Caenorhabditis elegans: one gene and its partner. The protein of the gene in region 1 interacts with the protein of each later gene in a biochemical or structural test. Each region holds a gene or a part of one and is shown on either strand. Other genes may lie near its edges.

Region 1 (3,956 bases):
ATTACGGGAATACAAAACCTAAACTTTTTCTGAAACATGATACATATGCTGCTTAAATGCTGAGACTACCTGATTTTCATAACGAGACCGCTGAAAAAGTTTTGAGGTTTCCAAAATTCAACTTTTTTGGTGAAAAAGTCGAGATTTTCGCACAAAAAGTTGAATTTTGAAAACCTCAAAACTTTTTCAGCGGTCTCGTTATGAAAATCAGGTAATTTCAGCATCTAAGCATCATATGTATCATGTTTCAGAAAAAGTTTAGGTTTTGTATTCCCGTAATCCATCATATTACATTGACAACTTTCACCACTACTTGCCGACTGAATACATATTTTTTCATCTGGAAATTATTTTAGCATCTGCAAAAAATATTTATTCATCAGTTTTAATAAGAAAAAACGGGAAAAAACTGTGAAAAACGAAGGAAAACAGGCGGAAAGCAAAGCAAGATAAATGGCCGCTGAAACTTGTCGGCCCCTCGGCCTTGGCCTAGAAACCACTTTTCCTCGTCCCTCGTGAGGAAAAAGTTGCAGTGGTGAACTGCAAAACTTACAAATCCCCAGTGAAACGACTGGAAGAATCGCGTAATTGTAGAAGAAATTGAGCGAATCTCGGCCGGCCGCCTTCAAAACTCCCCAATAACCCGAGAAATCCGCAGTTTTCGGGCGATGCGTTGTTGTCAGCGCGTAGGCGATTCCAAGCACGACGAACAAAATTAAAATCACATAGAGCGCGAAATAAATCGCCTCGTTGAAAATATTCGTCTGCTTCACAGTCACCTTCCCGGTTCTCGGATTCTTCTGCACACGGATTCTGGAGGCACCGGCGCGAAGATCATAGCTGTCTCCTGGATTCTTGGACGCATCGAAACCATAGCCGAGCACCTTGTTCCACGCGTTCTTCACAATGCCCCGCCGCGAGGGTTCTTCTGTCTTGTAGATGATTCTACTCGTCTCTTGACCTTCAAACTCGTCATCATCATCCTCTTCTCCGGTAGTGTTTCCCAAGTCGTGAAGAACTTTGGACACTTTCGACGTGTAAATCGATTTTCTTGGCGGTGTAGCGCCGGGGCGATCGCTTCCGAATGTGGAGAAGCTTGGCGTGAAGTCTGTGATCAACCCGGGCACTGAGGTAATCCTCCGGGGAGTTGATGGAATGCGAGTAGTAGTTGTGTTGATAGTGGTTTTGCTTGATGATGAAGTAGTTCTTGGAGTATTCTTTGGGACTGGAGATGGCTTGTAAACTGGAGAAAGTCTCTTGTTAGGCGTCGAAGAAACCGGGCGGCCGCGTCCAACACTGCTCGCCGTTGAGTTGGCGCTTCTGAACGAAGATTGCTTGGATTTCGGCGAGAGAATCTCCTCATCGTCATCGTCGTCGTCTCGCATATCATCGTCCGAATCGCTCATTTCCTCGATTTCCGATCGATTAAACGTGGAATTTATCGTGCTATTGGCGGCGGTCGCGGCAGCACGTGGAATTGAGCGTCTGGCCGGCGGCGATTTTGGGGATTTTGGAGCTGGAGCGGATTTTGGAGTTGGTTTTGGTGCTGGTTTGGCGACGGTAGGACGAGCAGGAGTCTGAAAATTTAATTATAAAAAAAAAATCTAAAGTATTCTAAATCCTTTTAAAATACCTTTGCTCCACCGGAAAGCAACTTCTTCAGCTTCTTCTCGTACAGCGAACGAGTCGTTCCAGTTACCGGGCCAACATTCGCCCCGCGAACGTTCAACTCGGCGCGGAGCTCTGCATCCGACATTTTCTCAACGTCGACCATTCTCTGAAAGTAAAAAATAATTAAAAAATCTTATAAGAACGCGAAAAAATGAAGAAAAACGAAGGAAATCGTCAATTTTCGAAGGTTGTGAAATTTGAACCAAATGCGGCGGGAAATGTCAGTGGAGCGCGCTTGCGAGGAGGCGGTGCGGGATGAACACCACCATGGACGCAAAAACTACAGAATATCTCACCGGAAATTAAGATTTACTTCTAAAAAACTAAACTTTTAAAAAAGAAATTGTTATTTTAATTTTTAATAAAACCAAAATAAACCTAAAATGTGCTAAAACAAAAAACTTTGCCTGCGGATTCTGTTTCTTCAAAAACTTCGTGGTGTCGCAAGTTCGTGGTGTCTCTCGAAAATAAATTCTGATATTCGGAATTTCCGCGGAGGAAATCCTCTGCGAGTCTCGATTTTTCAGGTTTTTCCTTGAATATTCAGGGTAAATTCATCAAATTTTTAAAAAAATCGATAAATTTTGCTCAGTAAAATTGAGTAAAAACCTTTTATTGAATGAAAAATTTTTAAAAATTACAACAAAAAAAATTATTTAAGCTCAGTGCAGTTGCCCGATGAGCTGAAAGCCAAGTAATTCAGCTTTGCAATGCTATGAATCAGCCTGGAAGATTCGATTTCTCGTGATTTCGGTCGTTTTCTGAAATTTCTTTGTGCTTTCCGAGGTATTTCTCGATTTCTCACGTTGTACCGACGCCTGAGAAACTTGAAAAACGACGCAAAGGAACTTGAAAAAGTTCTCAATATTGTGAAAAACGTCGCGTTTTCCGCTTTCCGAAGAAGCTTCAACAAGCAGAAAAAAGGCGAGAAATAGCACAAATAAGGTCTTCATGATACGAATTTCAGAGTTGTGAATGAATGAATGAAAATGAATGAAAAATTGAAAATATGTGTGTGTGTGAGTTACTGATAAGTAAGCTTGAACACTGAAAAAACAAAAAAAAGGCGAAAAACAGTATTAATCGGCGTCTTCGTCAGTCTCGTCACCCTCATAAAATGCTTCGTAGCGTTCGTCGTTCAGGTCCATGCTGAAAAATGATAGAATTTTCAGAATTTCCATCTAAAAATTGAAAACCGCCACATTTTATCACCAAAAAGTTGTACTTTTCAGAATTTTTCAGGTTGAAATAGCTAATTTTCAAGTTTTTAATAATTAAATTGATGAAAATTACTTGAAAGTTAGTAAAAATAAGCGATTTTAGTCGGAATTTTCAAAAAATTGGAGGAAAACCGGGGTTTTGTGGCCGAATTTTCAAACTTTCACATGTAAATTTTCAATTTTTAGCATCAAAATTGGCAAAATCAGTTGAAATTTGCGCAATTTAATGGAAAAACTAGATCAAAACCGCATTATTTCCAGAGAAATGAGCTATTTTAGTGGGAAAATTGAATTTTTAGCCGATTTTTAAGAAATTGACAGGGAGAAATAGCTAATTTCAACTAAAAATTTTCAGGTTTCAACCACAAATTCACTACATTTAGCTGAAATTTGAGAACTTTAATGGAAAAACTACATCAAAGCCGCATTTTTTCCAGAGAAATGAGCGATTTTAGTGGAGAAATAGGATTTTTAGAGACGATTTTCCAGAAATTTACAGTGAAAAATAGATAATTTCAGCTAAATTTTCAGGTTTCAACTACAAATTATGGAAAAATACATCAAAGCCGCTTTTTTTTCCAGAGAAATGAGCAATTTTAACCGGAATTTTCGAGTTTTTCGCAAAAAAAAAAAAGGAAAATAGAATTTTTAGCCGATTTTTCAGAAATTTACGAGGAAAAATAGCTAAATTCAATACTTTTAGCTAAAATTTAAGCATTTTTGTGAAAATTGCCTCAATTTCCAGGTTTTAAGCCGTAATTTCAGCGCAATAATCCAATTTTACACACTTTTGAAGCCGTCTGTGGAAGCTTTCGTCGGAGTATGCCTCCTCGCCGGCGTGCCAATGGTCGGGCTCCGATATTCCGTACGGATCCCCATTGTCGCTGTCCTGAAAATCAACATTTTCATCTGGGGATTTGAAGATTTTCAATGGAAAATTCACAGAATTCAGCAGCTCCAACCTCATCATAGGATTCCTCATCGGGATAGTCATTCCGCCAGTTATCCTCATCATTCGAATCGTCTTCATCATCAGCCGGCGGCCCATCGGAGTCATCTTCGTCG
Region 2 (3,600 bases), on another chromosome or scaffold:
TCCAGCTTTGACCACCAACTTGTATCCTCCGATGGATTGTTCTTCTTCAGAGTTGTTTGCAACACGGACCCACTTTCCTTCCTCATCAACCTCGTCGATTCCAACTGGGCCAACAGTCTCTTTGTTGAGTTTGGAGCGACGGTTGAGATAATCAATGTCTTGGTCCTCTCCATTTACATCGACAACGCGACGACGCTTCACTCCGCGCTGAGCGCTTGCTCCTCCGGATGAAAACGAGACGTGATGAACTGAAGTGTTTTGTGGCGCCTCCTGAGTAAGATTGAGACGCTCCTCCTCACCCTCAAGGAGAGCTTGGTAGGTCTTGAGTTCGGCGTCCAATTGGATTTTAACATCAAGAAGATCGTGGAACTCGCTCATCATGCGCTCGATCTCTTGATTAAGTTCAGCAATTCGAGCATCCTTGTCGTCGAGCTTCTCTTGGAACGATCTCTTCAGAGTGTCGAGCTCTGAACGAAGACGTTCGATGAGCGAAGCATTTCCACTGCTTGATGTCTCCAAGTCACGAACACGGGCACGAAGATGGATTGCTTCGGATACAGCCTCCTCTTGGCGTTCACGAGCAGCATTGAGCTTGTTTTTGTAGGCATCTTCGAAAGCTGTTTTGTTTTGATGCAAATTGTTCTTGAACTGAGCACGCATCTCTTCGATTTGATCTTGAAGCTTAGATTGATACTCATCATTAATCTGCTTGGCGTAGGTTGTCATGTCGACCTGTCTCTTGTGACGAACTTCTTCAAGTTCTCCCTTGTGCTGTTGAAGAGCAAAAGCGAGATCTTCTTCCAGAGCCTTGATTTTATTGTTGGCGGCTGTTCGGAGAAGAGTTTCATCTTCAACGGCTTTCTTGAGTCCTTCTACGGTGTCACGAAGAGTGATGTTCTGCTTTTTGAGATCCTGAAAACAACAAAATTGAACATTTACTTTTGATAAAATTAAAATTTCTTACATCATTCTCCACCACCAATTTATCGTTGCGTGCCTGCAACGTCTTCTGTTTTGCTTGACTTTGATCAGCAATAGATTGGGCATGGAGGGCTTGTTCCTCAGCTCCAGCGAGTTCTCTCTCAAGTTTTTCGACTTGTGGCTTCAACTTCTTTACTTCAACCTTTGCAGCGTCATACTCGATCCTGTATTTTGCGAGCTCATCTTGAGCCGAATCGAGGGCACGACGGAGACGAGCCTGAAAATACAAATAATCTATATTCCAACACTTATCATTCGTCCAAAACGAGAGCTTATATTTGCATTGTTACTTTACCGCGGCGAGAATAATAAGACCACCGCATCAGTTTCCCACAGAACACCTTTGGCGATCAGAATATAAACAAAGTGTACCTTTTCCGCCTCGAAGCGATCGGCCAAGTTTGACTTCTCTTTCTTTTCAACAACTTCGATGTCGCGAATTTGAACCTGGAGTCTGTTGTTCTCTTGCTCCAATTGACGAACTTTCTGAAAAGTGTACTTTCAAATATGAATACTTTCCAAATTAAAACTCACGTCGATGTAAGTGGCAAGACGACTGTTGAGTGAAGTCAAATGATCTTTCTCTTGAAGACGTGAAGTTTCTAGAAGCGTTGAGCCACTGAAAAGCATTTCATCGAGTTTTTTTTTAGATAACACAAGAAATGCGTTTATGAGTGCAGGAACTAGAGAAGCAAAATAAAAACTCACAATGAATCGTCGCCTCCTCCATTGTTGCTTAGCGACGAATTCGCTGAGCGCTCTAGCGTAACAATACGAGAACTACGAGTACCTTTACGAGATGACATTTTTCTCGCTGCTTTCTGAAGAGTTAATTATATTGGATTTAGTTTCAGAAATAGACAAAGAGAGATGTAAGAGAAGAGAGGAAACGTCATAGGCGCCACACGAACGTGACTCAACATTTTGATATTTCTTGTGATAAAATTTTTATACAACAAAAGTTTTCTGTCTCAAAAGAAGTGTGGCAAACATGCGGACACGGCCGTTGTGTATACCACTTCGGAAAGCGTGTGTTTGTCGAAAAATCTGGCGCTGTTAGGTTATTTGCGAGTTACGGCGCGCCAAGTGACCTCAAAATCGGCAGATGGCAGTATTCCACATAGATGTGTGTTGTTTCGTTTTTTAAATGTTTCAACAGAAAGAAATATAGTAGAGAAATAAGGAACATTTGTGAGAGTGACGTAAACAAAAGCATAAACATAGTCAGTAAGTAGCGTTGAATTCAAACATTAGGCAACTCGGCAAAGAACTACAATTGTCAAGGTATACTCAACTAAGATTTACCTCGTTTCAATAGTTTTTTGAAACTCTCGTGAATAAGAATGCTTTAGCAGGGCGTTATCACCTCGCCTTCAAAAATCATCTGCGCACTTCCACAAATTGCCGATAGAACTAGGCAGATGGGACTGAAATGATTAGAGAAAAAGAGAGAAAAGGGAATTTCTCGCATACTTGTTTGGTTTTGATTGACCGTCCATGTCGCGTCAATTTGAAAGTAACAAAATTTCGAAAATTTAGGGAGAATTTCGAAATTCGATCAATCAAAACTTTCGGACTACTACAAAAGAGAAATGACCTGATAAACTATAAGATAGGATATCAAATTACACAAATTAGTGTAAAAAAGTTGCATGAGAGGTGATATGTAGGAGTTTCGAGGGTTCAAAAACGATGAAAAACGCTCGATCTTGTTTCGAAGGGCAATGGCCCAGGCCAATGCTCTCTCTTTAGTCGCGCGAGTGAGCGCTGCGTACCCCTTCATCTCTGATCTCTCCCGTTTCGCGCACTATTTTCAAGTTTTTCTTTCGTTTTTTATGCTCACGGTCCCAATGACTAGAGAAGTAGAGAAGCAGGAAAGACGTGTGCATATGGTAAACAACATACATATACACAACTTGGCAACATGCCAGTACAGGGTTAAATAGAACGAATAATGGAGAGGCATGATGAGAGTATTAGAGAAGTGGTCAAACATCTGAAATTTTGAGGTTTTGCCGCTTTTTTATATGGATAGTGTAAATTTTGAAACTCGGCGATTAACAATAAACATGTACCATTGAAAGACATATTCAGAGCCAGATGAAGGAAGCGAGAAATCATAAGCAGTCTTGTGTGAGAGAAGACAATGTCGTTCTTCTTTGGTGTTTGACACAGAATGAATGAATTCTAGAGAAGGAGGCTGAGAAGAGAAGGAAACAACATCTGGAAAGAGCACTAGAGCGTCGACGCACAGAGACAAAGGGCAATAAATCAATGGGAGAGTGTCATTTTGGCGCGTTGACAGTTTTTATCTCATTTGATGTGACCATGTGGTAGAATATTAGTATAGCACGAAAATTAGAAGCTAAATTTCTATTATGAAGGCGAGATTAGCCGCGAGAGAGAAGTTTGGTGAAATGAAAAGAATACGAAATGAAAGAGTAGGAAAACAATTTTCTCTAGACACCTGCATCTCTAAAACACATTTGATCCCTAAAAAGATTGAAATGAAAAAACAAGAGAATCGATTAAATGTGAGAGGAACTTGGGCAAAACATGTCTCTTGGTAATATGCAGATTAACAATTGAGTATATAAAATTAGGGCTGTACAACCGGAC

The links.
Region 2: the proteins of lem-2 (region 1) and lmn-1 interact in far-western blotting, tested with the Caenorhabditis elegans proteins (one study listed by BioGRID).

What each region holds. Positions count from the first base shown.
Region 1 is NC_003280.10:14,061,273-14,065,228, reverse strand, and holds the start of lem-2 (LEM protein 2), read right to left. Parts: upstream 1,780-3,956; 5' UTR 1,775-1,779; coding exon 1,634-1,774; intron 1,578-1,633; coding exon 554-1,577; intron 1-553. Other genes in the region: W01G7.4 (putative RNA polymerase II nuclear localization protein SLC7A6OS), read right to left, coding at 2,751-2,820, 3,680-3,780, 3,854-3,956. UniProt on the Caenorhabditis elegans protein: Nuclear lamina-associated inner nuclear membrane protein that is involved in cell division, nuclear structure organization, maintenance of nuclear envelope integrity and nuclear envelope reformation after mitosis.
Region 2 is NC_003279.8:8,761,243-8,764,842, reverse strand, and holds the start of lmn-1 (Lamin-1), read right to left. Parts: upstream 1,803-3,600; 5' UTR 1,788-1,802; coding exon 1,690-1,787; intron 1,601-1,689; coding exon 1,516-1,600; intron 1,468-1,515; coding exon 1,354-1,467; intron 1,199-1,353; coding exon 965-1,198; intron 913-964; coding exon 1-912. UniProt on the Caenorhabditis elegans protein: Major component of the nuclear lamina, a fibrous layer on the nucleoplasmic side of the inner nuclear membrane. Provides a framework for the nuclear envelope and probably also interacts with chromatin.